2 linked regions of the Anolis sagrei genome follow. The protein of the gene in region 1 interacts with the protein of each later gene in a biochemical or structural test. Links are inferred from orthologs where the notes say so. Each region holds a gene or a part of one and is shown on either strand. Other genes may lie near its edges.

The links.
Region 2: of the proteins of ARIH2 (region 1) and CKB, one has a biochemical effect on the other in vitro, tested with the Homo sapiens proteins (2 studies listed by BioGRID). The link is inferred for Anolis sagrei from reciprocal best matches to the Homo sapiens genes ARIH2 and CKB.

The regions. Positions count from the first base shown.
Region 1 is NC_090022.1:28,589,726-28,599,630, forward strand, and holds the start of ARIH2 (E3 ubiquitin-protein ligase ARIH2), read right to left. Parts: upstream 4,662-9,905; 5' UTR 4,469-4,661; intron 1-4,468.
Region 2 is NC_090021.1:327,580,654-327,590,558, reverse strand, and holds the start of CKB (creatine kinase B-type), read right to left. Parts: upstream 5,070-9,905; 5' UTR 4,930-5,069; intron 2,258-4,929; 5' UTR 2,235-2,257; coding exon 2,042-2,234; intron 679-2,041; exon of another isoform or gene 669-678; coding exon of another isoform or gene 494-668; intron 1-493. UniProt on the Homo sapiens protein: Reversibly catalyzes the transfer of phosphate between ATP and various phosphogens (e.g. creatine phosphate).

The sequences.
Region 1 (9,905 bases):
ACTCATTCTGCCATGCAGGAACACCCAATCAAAGCACTTCCAACAGATGGTCATCAACCTCTGTTTACACCCCCCCCCCCCCCAGCAAAAAAGGAGAGATTCCATCAGCCTCGAGGCAGCAGACTATCCCACTGTCAAACAGCTTCTACTATCAGGAACTTATTACTTATTTTAAGCTAGAATGTCTCTGTAGTTTAAATCCAGAAAATAAGCAAACTCCATCTTGGTCATCCTTTCAAAAAATTTAACATGGCTCTTAGCTGTGAAAACCCACTGGGAATTCACATATTTTCAGTGCCCTTCCACACAGCCATAAAACACAGAAAATCAAGGCAGAAAATCCCACAATATCTGTGTTGAACTGGGTCATCAGAGTCCACACTACCATATATTCCAATTCAAAGCAGATAATGTAGGATTTTATTCAACTGTATGGAAGTTGCCTCAGTTGCAGAAAATCCTGAAATAGAGGCTTTGCCATAACTTGGGAGTAATGTCAAGACAACTTCCCATCTGATATTGGAAACTAAGCATGGTCAGCCTTGTTTGGGATAATGTCAATGAACTGTAGGTGCTGTAGTCTCTATTTCTGAGGGGAAAACTGGCCAAACTTCCTCTGAGAATTTCTTGCCCAAGAAACCCCTGTAAGGCTCATAAGTTTACGGATGATTCACAGATACATCATGGTACCAGCCTGTGACAATAGATCTCTTTCAACACCTTTCATCCCAAATATTTTTTTTCCATTTACTTTACCTGGTTTTCTTTTGCCTAGTTCAAAAACAGGGATCTTGTAGCACAATAAATAAAACAAATCTGGTAGCATGAGCTTTTGTAGACGAAGTCGTCTTCTGCGAATTCACCTGAGGAAGTAGATTTAGGTTGCATCTAAACTGCAGAATTAATGCTGTTTGATGCCATTTTAGCTGCCATTACTCAATGCTATAGAATTATGGTAGTTGTTTTGTGGTGAGGCACTCAAATTCTTTGGCAACTAAGACTAAAAACATAAAAACTACAACTCTCGGAATTCCATAGCATTGTGCTGTGGCAGTTTAAGTGGTGTCAAACTGCATGAATTCCTCAGGGCTCTTCCAGACAGGCCCTTTGTTCCAGGATCTGATCCCAGGTTTTCTCCTTTAGACTGTATTATATTAGTCCATACTGCCAAATGATCTGGGATAAACAGAAAACCAGGGATCAAAAGGGCCTGTCTGGAAGGAGCCTCATTGATAAGCGATTCCCAAACATTGGTCCTCTGGGTGTTTAGGACCTCAGCTTCCAGAAGCCTGAGCTCCATTGCCCATTAGTTGGGATTTTGGGGAGCCGATGAAAAAAAATAAGAGGGACCAAAGTTTGGGAGTCTGTGATGGTGAAAGAATGCAATTTGGTTCCACTTTAACTGCTGTGGCTCAATGCTTTGAAATCGTAGGAGCTATAGTTTCATAAGATCTTGAGCCTTCTGACAAAAAAGCGTGGGCGCCTCACCAAACTACAACTCCAATGATCCCACAGCATTGAGAATAAAAGTTAAAGTGGGGCCAGACTGCATTCATTCTACACTGCAGTTGCTTTCTGAGAGAACACAATTATCAGCGGAAGCCTTTGTAGACATGTCCCAGGATTACACAGCATTCTATACACTGCAGAAGTAATGGAAGATGTACCCATGCTACAACAGGCCTAGGCAAACTTCTGCCCTCTGCGTGTTTTGGACAGGCTATTAGGAACTGTGGGAGTTGAAGTCCAAAACACCTGGAGGGCTAATGTTTGCCCAGGCCTGTTCTACCATGTAGGCAAGCCTATTATGCTTGTTTGGAGCTTACAGGGTGACTAGCCATGGTCAGGACCCCATAAACTCCAAACAGGCATGCATGCATTTTTAGATGGGTTCTCCATCATACCTGTATTTTAAAGAATTAATAATTATAACATCAACAACAAACAATCTAGGGCTGTTAGGAATTGTAGGAAGTCCAAAGGAGGGCTGAAGTTTGACCATGTCTGTACAGGACATTATATACTCATCTTCCATTTTAATTTAAATGGCAACCAAGTTGCTTCCCTCACCTCCCAGTCCTCTCCTTCTCACCTTTTCTTCAAAAAAAATAATAATGCCAGCATAAAATCCATAGTTTAAAATTGACATTAAAAGTAGGTCATTGTTTTTATTACTACGTAAAACAAGGCCCAGGTGGCTTCCCTCATGTCTCCCAGTCCTTTCCCTTTAGAAAGATCTAAAGACTTGGCTTTTCTGATGTGCCTTTGGAGAGTGACCATATATTCCAGTCCTGTTGTTTCACCTACACTGCTTCCCCCATACTGCACTTTCCCCCACCTTATTGAAAGTCTAAATCCACTGTTCAGTCCCCTTTGAGCTCCTCCCCCACAATTGTACCTTTTCATTGCTATCTCATCCAGTGTTTTATCATTTTATGTCATGCATTTGGCCCGCCCACTGTGTCTGATTTTCCATTATGTTATTTTGTACTGTTTATTTTACTTGATTGGTTTATTTATTTTATTGTGATGTTATTTTGTTGTTTATATTTAATGTTGCTGTAATGTATCGCTGGGCTTGGCCTCATGTAAACTGCCGCGAGTCCCCTTTAGGAAGATGGTGGCAGGGTATAAATAATAATAATTATTATTATTATTATTCCCTCTCATCCATTCTTGTAAAAATGCCAGCTTAAAATCCATGGTTTAAAATTGACATTAAAAGATAGGCCTTTTTTTATTACTATGATTAATGGGTACATTAATGTACTTTCTACTGACGACTCCTATGACATATGGCCTGTATTATGACCTGAATTGTCATTCAATCTGATGTCCTATATTATATTAACTGATCCTGTTAATTTGCTCTGTTTCCATGGTTTTTCCTATGCCTTAATACATTGTCATCTACCTTACTTCCAAGTACTTGGAAGGCGCTGAACAGACTGTGCTCTGGCACCACGAGATGCAGAGCCAACCTTCAGAAATGGGGCTACAAAATGGAATCCTCGACATACGAGTGTGGAAAAGAGCAAACCACTGACCACCTGCTGCAATGCATCCTGAGCCCTGACACATGCACAATGGAGGACCTTCTTGCGGCAACACCAGAGGCACTCCAAGTGGCCAGATACTGGTCAAAGGACATTTAATCAACTACCAAGTTTGCAAAATCTGTGGGTTTTTTAAAAATCTGATTGTTTATTTTGTTCTGTTAGAAATGTGATACAATGGTATGGTTGCCGATGACACGATAAATAAATAAATCTACGTTACTAAATCACTTTATCCTTTAACTAGTTCACGTAGTGGTTTGCCTCCCCCCTCCAAAATTAGTCTGCTGTTATTATTGTTGCTAGCTATTTTTGTTATATTGTTTTATGCTCGTATGCCCTTCACAAACACTAGTATCACCTTTTGCTTATGGCCCAGCATTATTTCCAATTTTAACTCTACATTTGGCCTTCCCACTGTTTTAATTATGTGTTGCTTCTTTAATTTTTGTCGTGTCAGGAGTGACTCCTGTTGTGAGAGAATTGGCCGTCTGCAAGGACGTTGCCCAGGGGACGCCTGGATGATTTGATGTTTTTATCATCTTTGTGGGAAGCTTCTCTCATGTCCCCGCATGAGGAGCTGGAGCTGATAGAGGAAGCTCATCTGCCTCTCCCCGGATTCGAACCTGCGACCTGTCAGTCTTCAGTCCTGCTGGTACAAGGGTTTAACCCACTGCGCCACCGGGGCTTCTTTAATAATGTTGTGTATTTATTATCTATGTTTTTTAATTGCTTGTATCGATGTTTTATTGCTTCTGTTGTTGTGTTGGGCTCGGCCTCATGTATGCCGCACCGAGTCCCTTGGGGAGATGGTAGCGGGGTACAAATAAAGTTAATCAATAATAAATAAATAAATGCTGTTTTATGCTGTTTTAATTGTTATTGCTTTATTTTAATTATATTCTGCCTGGGCTTGGGCCCAATGTAAGCCACCCCGAGTTCCTTCGGGGAGATGGAGGCAGGGTAGAAAAATAAAGTTCTTCTACATCTGTACTGTACAATAAGGGTAGTTTGGCACCTATTTGATTGCTAAGGAACGGTGACTGTTGTAGTTTGGACTCTTGGCACCATCCTCGGGATGGGGAATACAAACTACAGCTCCCAGGACCCCATAGTATTGGGCCTAGACAAGGAAAGGGGTGCCAAGCTGCCTTAATTCGAATGAAAGGATGGGAGAAGCGAAGCACCAGACCTTTGAGCAGGCATGGGCTTAAGCGGCTGAGGGGGGAAAGGAAAGGGCCTGAGGCTGTTAGGAATGGTGGGAGTTGAAGTCCAAAACAGCTGGAGGGCCCAAGTTGGCCCATGCCTGCCCTTGAGGCCCACAACAAGGCAACTACGAGGGGGCCTTGCCTCTCCCTCCGCCCGCCCTCTATGTAAACAAGGCCCGGCTTCTTCCCCTCAGAGACTCTCACCCTCAGAGCGGTTGGGATGAACGCGGCCTCTTCAGCAGCGAGCGAAAGGGAAGACCGAAAGGAGGGAAGAAGGAGAAGAAAGAAAAGGGAGGAAGACCGAATCACCTTCCTGCCGAGGAGACGGGCGCCTCCATCTGTAGCCGGGCCGCTGTGGCCTGCGCACCGGAAGCCGTGGCCTCCAGCGCGGCGTCACTTCCGCCGCCGGGAAGGCCGCTGACGTAGGAGGAGCTGGCAAGGCGAGGAAGGCTGGAACGAACCATTCTTCAGAGCGCTCGGGGAGGGGGGGGGGAGCAGAGATGAAGCGTTCTATGGGCCATATGGAGAGTGAAGAGGGGGAGGACGAGATCTTTCTTCTTGCCTTCCAGATTATCCTCTTAGAATCATAGAATCAAAGAGTTGGAAGAGACCTCATGGGCCATCCAGTCCAACCCCCTGAAAGAAGCAGGAATATTGCATTCAAATCACCCCTGACAGATGGCCATCCAGCCCCTGTTTAAAAGCTTCCAAAGAAGGAGCCTCCACCACACTCCGGGGCAGAGAGTTCCACTGCTGAACGGCTCTCACAGTCAGGAAGTTCTTCCTCATGTTCAGATGGAATCTCCTCTCTTGTAGTTTGAAGCCATTGTTCCGCATTCTAGTCTCCAGGGAAGCAGAAAACAAGCTTGCTCCCTCCTCCCTGTGGCTTCCTCTCACATATTTATACATGGCTATCATATCCCCTCTCAGCCTTCTCTTCTTCAGGCTAAACATGCCCAGCTCCTTTAGCCGCTCCTCATAGGGCTTGTTCTCCAGACCTTTTATCATTTTAGTCACTCTCCTCTGGACACATTCCAGCTTGTCAATATCTCTCTTGAATTGTGGTGCCCAGAATTGGACACAATATTCCAGATGTGGTCTAACCAAAGCAGAATAGAGGGGTAGCATTACTTCCTTAGATCTAGACACTATGCTCCTATTGATGCAGGCCAAAATCCCATTGGCTTTTTTTGCCGCCACATCACATTGTTGGCTCATGTTTAACTTGTTGTCCACGAGGACTCCAAGATCTTTTTCACACGTACTGCTCTTTGTTTCACAGAGATCTGTTTTAAAAACAATCCCCACCATCCATCAAGAAGGCTGATGAGATTCTTTGGAAGATAGTTTTATTAAGATTTCCTGCATTGAGAATGCATCTTTTATACATGGAAAGTGTCCTTCTAGCTATATATGCTTCTAAATACCAAATATTCCCAGATCTCATCTCCACTCTAGGAGCCCCCGGTGGCATAGTGGGTTAAACACCTGTGCCAGCAGGACTGAAGACCGACAGGTCGCAGGTTCAAATCCCAGGACAGCGCGGAGGAGCTCCCTCTATCAGCTCCAGCTCCTCATGCGGGGATATGAGAGAAGCCTCCCACAAGGATGATAAAACATCAAATCACCTGGGCATCCCCTGGGCAACATCCTTGCAGACAGTCAATTCTCTCACACCAGAAGCGACTTGCAGTTTCTCAGGTCGCTCCTGACGATGAAAAAAAAGGCTGACCCGAATATAAGCCAAGGCACCATATTTTACCCCAAAAAACTGGGAAAATGTATTGACTCGAGTATAAGCCGAGGGTAGGAAATGCAGCAGCTACTGGTAAATTTCAAAATAAAAATAGATGCAATACAACTGCATTAATTGAGGCATCAGTAGGTAAAATGTTTTGAATATTTACATAAAACTATAATTTAAAATAACACTATGGAACTCTGATTAAACCATTATTCTAACCTTCAATGTAAATTATTATTATTATTATTATTATCTTTATTTGTACCCCGCTAACATCTCCCGAAGGACTCAGTGCAGCTTACAAAGGCCAAGGCCCTCAGTAAAACAACAACATAACAAATACAACAATAAAACTCATAAGGGATGTGCTTGCATATACTTCCAATAAAAATAGAGTAAAATAACAAATGTAATAATACTAACAATAATAATAGAGTAAAATAATGGAAATGTAATAATAACTACGGTAATAATAGAGTAAAATAAGAAATATAATAAAACAATAGTAAAGTAGAATGATCAATGTAATAACAACAACAATAACAGTACATTTATTATGTATTTCTAACAGGTAAAATAATAAATAACCTTGACTTGAATATAAGCCGAGCGGGACTTTTTCAGCCTAAAAAAAGGGCTGAAAAACTAGGCTTATACTCGAGTACATACAGTATATAATTTCTATATATAATGTTTATTATTATGTACTAGCCGTTCCCTGCCACGCATTGCTGTGGTTCAATCTTTGCATATGTGTTTTGTGTGTGTATATATATATGTGTATATGTATATATGTGGTTTTGCACATGCGTTGTAATGTATTTATTTGTTTTGGCTTTTTAAGTTTCATCCACTGTGTTTTTCAGTGTTTTTATGAGTGATGGTCACTTGTTGGCCTGATAGGTGCATTGTGTCCAAATTTGATGTCAATTCGCACAGTGGTTTTTGAGTTATGTTAACCCCACAAACCAACATTACATTTTACAGCAACGCGTGGCCAACTGGCTGTTAGGAATTGTGGGAGTTGAAGTCCAAAACACCCGGAGGGCCCAAGTTTGTCCATGCCTCCCTATTCTGATGCATCATTTCTGACTGCCCCTCTTGTGCTTATCAGTGACATGGTATGCACATAATAATAATAATTAGCAGAAGTAAAATGAGGCTTAGGAATTGGGGAAGATGTGGTCATCCTCAATCTTGTGTTCAGCTGTGTTCACAAGTGAAACAGACACTGCTCAATCTTGCCACTAGATGGAGGAAAGTTGTTGGTAAGTAATTTTCAGCATTCTTTCCAGTCTGAGCAAATGCAGGGCATTGTTCCATCTGAATTCAGGCAGCAGATTATTTATTTAACAAATAGAGGCAAATAGTGTCATCACTTCTGCATTGTTCTTTTCTCTGACTTCCTCTTACAGATAATATCAAGTGTTCAGCATGCCTTCTAAGGTTGGCTCCACGCTGTAGAATTAATGTAGTTTGATACCACTTCTCCTACCATGGTGGGGGACATGAGCGAAGCCTCCCTGCAGGATCGTAACACATCCGGGCGTCTCCTGGGCAACATCTTTGTAGATGACTGATTCTCCCACATCAGAAGTGACTTATCAATTCAGTAACGGACACGATAAATAAATAATAAATAAGACACCTTCACTCTTTGGTGGGAAAGGCAAAAGACGTTGTAAAATGACAGTTCTCCTGATTTGTAAGTACCAATGCACTTACAGTGGTATTAAACTGCATCAATATCAAAAGTGGACACAGAATTTAATAATCATTATGTGAGGAGGTAATTGTTGAAAATCTGAAACAGATATAAAGTCTTGTCGAAGGCTTTCATGGCCAGAATCACTGGGTTGTTGTAGGTTTTTTCGGGCTATATGGCCATGTTCTAGAGCAGGGATCCACAAACTTTTTAAACAGAGGGCCAGGTCACAGTCTCTCAAACTGTTGGAGGGCCGGATTATAAGTTGTAAAAAGCATGAATGAATTGCTATGCCCACTGCACATATTTTATTTGTAGTGCAAAAACCACTTAAAAACAATACAATAATTACAATGAAGTACAATTTTAACAAATATAAACTTATTAGTATTTTAATGGGAAGTGTGGGCCTGCTTTTGGCTGATGAGATAGGATTGTTGCTGTTGTGTGCTTTCAAGTTGTTTCAGACTTAGGTTGACCCTGAGCGAGGGCCGGGTAAATGACCTTGGAGGGCCGTATCCGGCCCCCGGGCCTTAATTTGAGGACCTCTGTTCTAGAGGCATTCTCTCCTGACGTTTCGCCTGCATCTATGGCAAGCATCCTCAGAGGTAGTGAGGTCTATTGGAACTAGGAAAGTGGGTTTATATATCTGTGGACAAGTCTACATAGACAAGAGGACAAGAGGGATCCTCTCACTTCTTCAGGAGTCTACCGTATACCATGCAACTGTGGACAAGTCTACATAGGGACCACCAAACGCAGCGCCCAAACACGAATCAAGGAACATGAAAGGCACTGCAGACTACTTCAGCCAGAGAAATCAGCCATAGCAGAGCACCTGATGAACCAACCTGGACACAGCATATTATTAGAGAACACAGAAATGCTGGACCACTCTCACAACCACCATGTCAGACTACACGAGAAGCCATTGAAATACACAAGCATGTGGACAATTTCAACAGATAGGAGGAAACCATGAAAATGAACAAAATCTGGTTACCAATATTAAAAAGCTCTAAAATTACAACAGCAAAACAACAGAGGGGAAACAATCAGGCACATCTAATCACCTCTCAACAAAAGATTGTCCCAGGCACTGCCAGGCCATCAAATGCTAATCAAGGTGGTTAGTTGAAACATTCACACCTGCTCCAACAGACATGAGTTCTTTGCCCCACCCTGGTCATTCCACAGATATATAAACCCACTTTCCTACTTCCAACAGACCTCACTACCTCTGAGGATGCTTGCCATAGATGCAGGCGAAACATCAGGAGAAAATGCCTCTAGAACATGGCCATATAACCCGGAAAAACCTACAACCACCCAGTGATTCCGGCCATGAAAGCCTTCAACAATACATAAGACCCTTATTCTTAATTAATCACTGTTTATGTTTAATCATGAGGGGTGGTCAATTTCTCAATAACAATATGATAGCCATGTTTCAGTATCTAAAAGGATGTCACATTGAACAGGGGGCAAGTTTGTTTTCTGTTGCTCTGAAGACCAGGACATGGAGCAATGGATTTAAATTGCAGGAAAAGAGAATCTACCTAAACATTAGGAAGAACTTCCTGATGGTAAGGATTGTTCAATGCTATGGACTCCTGGAAGTTGTAATTTGGTGTCGTGTGAGCACGCACCAGCATTAAAGACCTTGTAAAAGTTAAATTATTCTATATCATTGAGCAGTGATAGTAGTGTCACACTGCATTCAATCTACAGTATAGATGTACTCTAAAACACAACTTTACCATTCTGTTTCACAAATAACTTGGTCTTAACAGGACTCTGGTAATTTTAATAACGATTGCGAAGATCTCAGCAAGATGTAGATGCCAAATATTGTTTTCCAATTCACTAAAATATCCTAGAACACTGGCCTCTTTGCAGCCTATGACTGTATTAAGATCTCTTCGTTTTTGTGAAAAATTTCTGTGGCACTTATCTGTTGAAACGATATGCAAAGCAGCTTGCAAAAGCCACCCTCAGTGCAAACCGCAAGTCATTACTTGGAAAGAAGATAATTTTTTTGACTGCAGGGACATCCTTTTAGGCTGAAACTATATCAGCTGTTTGAAGGAACATTTCCTGGAAATCTACGCAAAGCAGATGGGACCTTGCCCACGCGCAGATGCCTTCTGCTCTCGCCGGCTGCCAATGCAACTGCGATTAGACAAACTGTG
Region 2 (9,905 bases), on another chromosome or scaffold:
TTCAAATCCTGGCCTCTAGTGCACACTGGCTCTCCAGGATATTATTCCCAAGCGGCAGTAATGGGAAAAAATAAAGCTCTACACTAGGCATGGACAAACTTGGGCCCTCCAGGTGTTTTGGACTTCAACTCCCACCATTCCTAACAGCCTCAGACCCCTTCTTTTTCCCCCTCAGCCGCTTAAGCGGCTGAGGGGGAAAAAGAAGGGGTCTGAGGCTGTTAGGAATGGTGGGAGTTGAAGTCCAAAACACCTGGAGGGCTGAAAGATGTTCATGCCTGCTCTACACTCAAGCAATAGCAATTTCCTTTGATCCACACTTCTTGTTTCAGTCATTTGGCATTTGCAGAGCTACAACTGTGTTCCTTCTTCTTCTCAAACACACACACAGACACACACACAGGTCAGCCTAAGCAACAAGCCATGGTTACATCAGCCGGGTTGACAGAGAAGACTCAGCAAAGCTTTGGGGGAGTTTTTGGTTTCGTTTTTTTACCCGGATTATCAACCCCAGTCTGAATGATATCATCCAAGCAGAAGCCACTGGGGGTTACTCTGTCTCTCAGTTTCTGGTACAATTCCGGGGTTAGGACTTTGGCCATGTGGTTGTTGTGGGTGCTCAGGTCCGGGTATTCCTCATCCGGAGGCAGTTTCTGGTTATTAAAGGGCATTTTGCTCTCGCTAGAAGGTGATAAAAACACACAAAAATACTGCAGGGTTAAAGACAAAGACAGCATAAAATCACCAAGATCTGCTCCCCCTTTATCAGTCAAAGAAGTGCCACAGAGGGTAACCAAGGGATTTCTTTTTCCACAAAACTACCTCCAATTTAATGAGTATTAAGCTTTCGAAGTTGTGCCAATAGGGAGAGAGAAAAGAGAGAAGATGCTGCATACCTCTCACTGCGCATCAAAGTATTTAGCAGAGTGTTTACACAGGAATTTGGAATACAATTGGTTTCGTCAAGCAGCTCATTGCATCCTCGGTTTGCATCCCTCGACATTTAAACATTCAGGTAAATGTGTTGCTGAAGGTTTTTATGGCCAGGGTTACTGTGATTTTTCCAGTCTGTATAGCCATGGTTCTAGAAGCATTCTCTCCTGACATTTCACCCACATCTATGGCAGGCACCCTCAGAGGTTGTGAGATATTATACATACATATATATTATATATATAGTGAATTCTTTCTCGCATCCTGGACCTTCTACAGATATATAAACCATATATATGAGTATGTTTATATAATATATAAAATATTATATTATATGTGTGTTTATATATCTGTGGAAGGTCTAGGGTGGGAGAAATAATATAAATATAAGGTGAGTTCTTTCTCCCACCCTGGACCTTCCACAGATATAGATAGATAGATATCCATATATGTTTAGGTAAAGGTTGGGTAAAGGTTGTCCCCTGACATTAAGTCCAGTCATGTCTGACTCTGGGGTGTGGTGCTCATCTCCATTTCTAAGCCGAAGAGCCAGCATTGTCCGTAGACACCTCCAAGGTCATGTGGCCGGCATGACTGCATGGAGCCCCGTTACCTTCCCGCCGGAGCTGTACCTATTGATCTACTCACATTTGCATGTTTTCGAACTGCTAGGTTGGCAGAAGCTAGGGCTGACAGCGGAAGCTCACGCCGCTCCCTGGAATCGAACCTGCGACCTTTCGATCAACAAGCTCAGCAGCTCACTGCGCCACTGGGGGCTCCCCATATATGTATATATATATATATATATAGGTTTATATACACATGGTAGGTCCAGGGTGGGAGAAAGAACTCACCTTACATTTATATTTATATTATATATATATATAATACCTCAATCTCTGAGCATGCCTGCCATAGATGTGGGCAAAACATACAGCCCAAAAAACTCACAGCAATTCAGGCCAATGCCCAAGGGTATTATGCAGCTAGGCCTCTTGAAGGTCTTATCAGGAGGTCTTTTGAGATGCCATTTTCAAAGCAGCACTTCCTCACTTAATGAAGGGAGAACAGATCCGGATCACAGAAGGGCCGCTGCCCCGGCATCCTTTACCTGGGTTGTCCACCCCAGTCTGAATCACATCGTCCACACAAAATCCGCTTGGAGTCACTCTATCCCGCAACTTGGTGTACAGCTCCAAGGTCAGCACTTTAGCCATATGGTTGTTGTGGGCGCTCAGATCTGGGTACTCATCCTCGGCGGAGTAGTTCTTCTTCAAGAGGTTGTGGCTGTTTGAGAATGGCATGGCGGGCCCCTGACTGCAAGGAGCTAAGAAGGGAGAAGAAGAGGAGAGGGGAAAGCTTAGCTGTGGGCTTGAGCTGCGGATGGGAGCTGGGCCTCGCAGCAAGGTCACCTTGTCTCCGGTACTGCGACCTGCCCAGGCAGGCACTCTCCCCGCCCGGCACCTGAGGATTGCCAGGCACTGGGCCAACATTCCCCTTCCGCCTCCTCTTCCTCTTGGCACCAGGAAGGGCCACACAGCAGGGACCGGCAGGAGGGATCTGCTCAAGGTCAAGAGCCTGGCTTGAGAGAGAGAAGAGGAGGCCAGGAATAGAAAGCGGCAGAGCTCTGTCTCTCTGAGCCTTGCCCCACTTCCTCCTTTCCTTGGTCCCAAAGGGTCACCTTCAAGGCAAGGGAGCAGACATGTTTTTGGAAAAGGATGGGTGGCTCTGGAATCCCTTGTTTCTGGAGAGTTGAAGCCCAAACTTGGACACTCTCTTTTGCATCCTCTTCCTCCTGGCCAGATGGTGCCACAGAAAAGGAGAGGAAGAGAGAGAGGGGACCCGCCCTGGTTTCTCCTGCCTCCAAAGCCCAGCCTCACTTACTCTCCTCGCTTTTGCAAGAGCGGAGAAGCCGGTTGGGGATGGATGCGTCCTGGGCAAAATTGGCAGTGAGGAATGCGCCAAGGAGGGTTCCCTCTCTCTCTCCAATCTTCCTCCCTCTAATCTCTCCTTGGTCCCTTTAAAGCAGGTGGATCTGACATCCCTGCAAACAGCCCAAGGGAAGGAAGGGTGTGGGGTGGAGACTCTCCCATTGCGCTTTGCTTGCCAAGAGCGCACGGCTGGCTTCTCCATTCCATTCCTTCCTTCCCTTTTCCTTCAAGACTGAGAGCCAAGGCATCTGAGGGACATTCTGGGGGCTCAAAGGCACATATGGGGCGGGCATCCTGATAAACAGCCCAAGGGGAAGGCAAAGGGAGGGAGATACCTCTCTCTATCGCAGGCATGGGCAAACTTGGGCCCTCCAGGTGTTTCGGACTTCAACTCCCACCATTCCAAACAGCCTCAGGCCCCTTCCTTTTCCCCCTCAGCCGCCCAGGTTTGCCCATGCCTCCTCTATCGCACTCCTTTTGACTCATCCAAGCTCTTCCTCCAGGAGCCCCCCAGGATGCAATGGGTTAAACTCTTCTGCCCACAGGACTGCTGACTAAAGGTTGGGGGTTCGAATCCAAGGAGAGCGGGTTGAGCTCCCTCTGTCAGCTCCAGCTTCCCATGCCAGGACATGGGAGAAGCCTCCCACAGGGATGGTAAAACATCCGGGCGTCACCTGGGCAACGTCCTTGCAGACAGCCAATTCTCTCACACGAGGATTTGAATGGGGGAGTGGGGTGAGCTTCCTTCTGTCAGCTCCAGCTTCCCATGCAGGGACATGAGAGAAGCCTCCCACAAGGATGGCAACGTCCTTGCAAACGACCAGTTCTCTCAAACCAGAAGCTACTTGCAATATTGGGGTTTGAATCTAGGAAGTGAGTTGAGCTCCCATCTGTCAGCTACAGCTCCCAAAAGGAAGATAAAAACATCAAACATCCGGGCGTCCCTTGGGCAACGTCCTTACAGACGGCCAATTCTCTCACACCACGATTTGAATGGGGGAGTGAGGTGAGCTTCCCTCTGTCAGCTCCAGCTTCCCATGCCGGGACATGAGAGAAGCCTCCCAAAAGGAGGACAAAAACATCAAAACATCCGGGTATCCCCTGGGCAACGTCCTTGCAAACGGCCAATTCTCTCACACCAGAAGCTACTTGCAATTTGGGGTTCGAATCCAGGAAGTGAGCTGAGCTCCCACCTGTCAGCTACAGCTTCCCATGCCGGGACATGAGAGAAGCCTCCCAAAAGGAGGATAAAAACATCAAAACATCCGGGCGTCCCCTGGGCAACATCCTTACAGACGGCCAATTCTCTCACACCACGATTTGAATGAGGGAGTGAGCTGAGCTCCCACCTGTCAGCTACATCCTCTGGGCAACGTCCTTGCAGACAGCCAAATTCTCTCACACCAGAAGCGACTTGCAGTTTCGCTCCTGACAGGAGAAGGAAAAAAAAAACCATGCTGTGGAAAGCACAGATAGGAGGAGAGGGGGAGAATTTCCCTGCAAGGTACACCTTCTCTAGGGGAGGACTGAGATAGGGAAGTCCTTGGGGCAAGGCTGGCTCTGGAAAGCAAGCCACTGAGAAGCTTCGGCTCCCTTTGCACCCATCCTTGGGGAAGATGGCCACTCCATCTCTTCCTCGCGCTCGCCCTCCAAGTGGAGGGAACGAAGGGGGAAAACGAAAGGGCGCTCCCGTTATGTAACGAAACTCCTCTCTGCTTGGCGCAGAGGAGGATCATGCCAACCCATCCCCTGCTTAAATGCCAATTCGGGGCCAAGGGATGGGAGAAGGAGGCAGCTTGAGCCCTGCAGGCAGGAGGCAAAAGAATGGGAACGAGAGTGGTCTTGCTCTTGCTTTTCAGAGCCAGGAAGAGAGTCAAGAGCAGCAGCATCTTCTGTCTCCCAACTCACCACGCCTTGGTTACTCTCGGCATCCTTTCCCTTCCCTTCTCCAAAACCCCAAAGCACATTGGCATGAAGAAGAGCAAGCATCGCAAGGTCATTGGCTCTCCCTTGGAAATGATAGGCTTCCTCCCCAAGACTCCTGGTTGACTTGCCTCCCAGCACTTACCGAGAGGGTCAGAGCAAGACAAAAGCGGCGCACTTGTGCCTCCTCGAGTGGGTGAGTGAGTGAGTGAGTGGAAGGAAGGAGGAACCCGGCTGCTCTTCCAGACAGACCTGCCTCGAATGGAGCCGTACCCCCGCCCTCCCTCCGCTTATATATCCAGCCCAAGCCAAGCACCCATTGGACACTATTTATATTCCATTCATTCCATTGGAGGCTTGCTCTCCAGGAGGAGGAGGAGGATGGAGGGAGGGAGAGAGAGGGCTCTGCTGGCCCAGTCGCTCCCAGTTTGCAGCCAGGCCTCCCAGTCAGGTGGAGAGGGAGAGGAGAAAGGAAGAGTCCCAGTCTTTTTGGGTTCCAATTCTGAAGGGAAGAAAGGGAAGGACATGGACCCTCCTCCTCCTCCAAGGAGACAAAGTGAGATGATGAAATAGCAAAGCCTTACAAAGGGAGATACTGCATCTCTGGGAGAAAGTAAACAAGGGTGGGTCCCAAGCTGGCAGGTGCTCTGGGAGCATGTACTTCTTTATTGACTGCATTTATATCTCACTTTTCTCTCCCTAAAGCAGTGTAAAAGGTAAAGGTAGTCCCCTGACATTAAGTCCAGTCATGTCTGACTCTGGGGTGTGGTGCTCATCTCCATTTCTAAGCCGAAGAGCCGGCGTTGTCTGTAGACACCACCAAGGTCATGTGGCCGGCATGACTGCATGGAGTGCCGTTACCTTCCCGCCGGAGCGGTACCTATTGATCTACTCACATTTGCATGTTTTTGAACTGCTAGGTTGGCAGAAAAAGCAGTGTAATGGCACACAAATAACTCAGCTGTTAAACTGAAGAACCATGTCTTTAAATAGCCAAGGATAAAGACATGCAATTACAAAAATATATTTGGTTAGCAGAGGATGGCTGTTTCTTTGAAGTTGAAGTTGCCCATCTACTCTCCCTTACAAAAACTCTTGTTTAAAACATGCACTCGGGAGACAAAACAAAGTAGTCTTTGAAAATAACATTTTGGGTTTACTAACAAACTTCTTGTATATATTCACCACACAGGCACATTTCTTATTAGAGTTCAGTTAGATAAGATATGGTCTCTTAAGTATGATACTTAGTCAATTGTCCACAGTCTTTAAATATAGCTATACTCACTGAAGTCTGAAAGTCATACTTCTCTACTAAAGTCCAAACAGCAACATGCATCCACCTCCACTGAGGTCTAAAAACCCCTAAAGCAGTGTTTCTTACTCTTCCTAATACTACAACCCCCTTAATACCCCCTCGTGTTGTGATAACCCCTCAACCATAAAATTAAGTTGATTTTATATAATACTTTAACTATTTTTCCCATGAAACAAAGTGTGTGTACACTGAACCATCAGAAAGGAAAAGCACCAATATCTCAGTCACTCATGTGGACTATTTCAGATTTAGGAGTATTTCCAATTTTGGAATTTTGCATAATCTTTAGCATAGTGTTTCTCAACCTTCCTAATGCTGTGGCCCTTTAATACAGTTCCTCATGTTGTGGTGACCCCCAACCATAACATTATTTTCCTTGCTACTTCCAGAACTGTAATATTGCTCCTGTTATGAATCGTAATGTAAATATCTGATATGCAGGATGTATTTTCATTCACTGGGCCAAATTTGGCACAAATATCCAATACATCCAAATTTGAATACTGGTGGCATTGAGGGGAATTTATTTTCTCATTTGTAGTTGCTGGGATTTATAGTTCACCTACAACCAAAGAGCATTCTGAACTCCACCAACTGACATAATTGAACCAAACTTGGCACACAAAACTCCCACAACTAACAAGAAAATACCGGAAGAGTTTGATATCGTTGACCTTGAGCTTTGGAGTTGTAGTTCACATATATCCAGAGAGCACTGTGGACTCAAACAATGATGGATCTGGACCAAACTTGGCACGAATACTCAATATGCCCAACTGTAAACACTGGTGGAGCTTAGGGAAAATCAATCTTGACATTTGGGAGTTGTAGTTGCTGGGATTTATAGTTCACCTACAATCAAAGAGCATTCTGAACTCCACCAACTGAGAGAATTGAACCAAACTTGGCACGCTAACCTCCCATGACCAAGAGAAAATACTGGAAGGGTTTGCTGGGCATTGACCTTGGGTTTTGGAGTTGTAGTTCACCTATATCCAGAGAGTACTGTGGACTCCAACAATGATGAATCTGGACCAAACTTGGTACAAATAATATGCCCAACTGTAAACACTGGTGGAGTTTAGGGAAAATAGATCTTGACATTTGGGAGTTGTAGTTACTGGGAATTATAGCCTACAATCAAAGAGCATTCTGAACTCCACCAATGATAGAATTGGGCCAAACTTCCCACACAGCACCCCCATACCTTGAAGGTACTTGCTGGTGCAAACCTCCCTTCAGCCTCACACGCTCTCCCTCGCCCACACATGCACACCATTCGCCAAGCACGCCTGCTCTCCCCTCCCCTCTTGAAGTCTCAGAAACAGCTCTTCCCTTGGCTGAGAGGCCAGTCAATCACAGCTGAGGGGGGCTTTTTGTGGGAGGATTCGCAGTCTGTTTCTAAAAAGGAAGAGAAGGACAGACGATGAGATCTTCAGCCTTCTCTGTCAAAAGGGTTCTTAAGACCATCAGAAATATATGTTTTCTGATGATCTTTGGCAACCTTTCTGAAACCCCCTTGTGACCCCCGTCCCAGGTCCTGACCCCCAGATTGAGAAACGCTGTCCTAAGGGAATTCAAAGCGGTTTCCAGCCTTATAAAGGCAACATGCTGTACATACATGTGAAAACCAAAATACTAATAGCAAGACAATAACATAACTATGAATTAAACCTAACCAAATTAAAATATAAACATAAAAGAGCATTTAGACATAAAGCATAAAAAATTACACATCGATAATATAATAACTTTTGTATTAAAACCCACTGATAAACACTATTTTAAAAGAGTTATTAAAATCACGCCATCCAAAATCAAGTCCAAGCGAACTGAAACACCTGAGTGAAATGACCATAGATAGCATCACATGAATGCCATGCCAGAAAGAACATGTCCCATTGGCCACCCTCCCTCTCTCTCTCCCTCCTTGGTTTCTATATTCTTGGGCAGGATTCGAATCCAGGCTGTAACACCTAGTAGGCTCTAGAAAGATGTTGGTGAAAGATGATGAAAATTATATAATTGCTGTATCCACAGAAAATACATTTCCAGACTGCATGGATATGCAAAAAATACGGATCATATCCAATTCTGTTGAATTGAAGGACTTCTGGCCCAAGAATACCACACAGTCCTGCTGGAGGAGGACTTAGAAAATGCCTAGAGAGGATGTATTTTGATGGATCAGGATAATTGAAACCATCGATACTGATCCTGCGGAAACAGGAGGCTGTGCTTTAGTATCATTTCCCTGCTAGTCAAAGACCATCTGGCAAAGAGGAATTACTTGGAAGGATTGACAGAATTATGGAAGGTATGTTGAAGCCTGTAAACCATGTTAGAGAGGGCAACAATCTGTGTGTGATGCAGGTAAACAATGTGCTAATGTGCAATGTAGTGCGGTAAACGTTCCAACCTCACCAAACTTTGACTGTGCTTTTCCTGCACAGTCCTAATGGCTAAGCGGGTTAAATCGCTGAGCTGAACTTGCTGACCAAAAGGTCGACAGTTTGAATCCGAGGAGCGGGGGCGAGCTCCCACTGATAGCCCCAGTGTCTGCCAACTTAGCAGTTTGAAAACATGCAAATGTGAGTAGATCAATGGGTATTGCTTCGGCGGGAAGGACCTTGGTATCCGCTGAGGTTTAGTTCCAGGACTCCTCATATATTCCAAAATCTATTCATGCTTAAAGATACCTGGTGGCATAGCGGGTTAAACCACTGAGTTGCTGAACTTGCTGACCAAAAGGTTGGCGGTTTGAATCCAGGGAGCGGGGTGAGCTCCCACTGCTAGCCCCAGCTTCTGCCAACCTAGCAGTTCGAAAACATGCAAATGTGTGTAGATCAATAGATACTGCTTTGGCGGGAAGGTAATGGCACTTCATGCAGCCATGCTGGCCACATGACCTTGGAGGTGTCTATGGACAACGCCGGCTCTTTGGCTTAGAAATGGAGATGAGCACCGCCCACCAGAGTCGGACACAACTAGACTTAATGTCAAGGGGAAACCTTTAGCTTTACTTCCTGCATGGCGGGGGTTGGACTAGATGGCCCATGTGGTCTCTTCCAACTCTATGATTCTAAGTGCCAGATTAAATTTAATTCATAACAACCAATCTTGCATCATCAGGTATGTGTTTTTGGAGCCCAAGTTTGTCGCATCTTGAGCTGCTTCTTCTGGCTCTATTGAGATTGCAGTAATTTTTTTAAAAAAGATCTGGGCTGAAATGCAAATAAGAGCTTTAAGGGATTGGGGCTAGCTGGACATACGCGTCATGTGAGTGATTAACTGCCTCTCTGTATAAACTTCACAGAAAATATCCACGCTCTGGGGGAATGGCTACTTCTCTAAGAACTAACCTCTGCTTGACATTTGTAGGCCAAGCCTGGGAATGTTTACTTGGGGGTAAGTGGTACTGCTGGTTTCAGTGGGACGTTGGAGTCCAAGGTCACTATTCCTGTATTGTAATCGGGATAGAGATTTTATTTCACACACAAAAATTATTCTTCCTTTTCAGTACAGCTGTCAACAAGGATTATGCCCCCAGTTTTGTTTCTTTCTGTGTCAGGAGCGATTTGAGAAACTGCAAGTCGCTTCTGGTGTGAGAGAATTGGCCGTCTGCAAGGATGTTGCCCAGGGGACGCCCGGATGTTTTGATGTTTTACCATCCTTGTGGAAGGATTCTTTCATGTCCCCACATGAGGATGTGGAGCGGTCATACAGGAGCTCACCCCACTCCCCGGATTCAAACTCCAAACTGCAAGTTGCTTCTGGTGTGAGAGAATTGGCTGTCTGCAAGG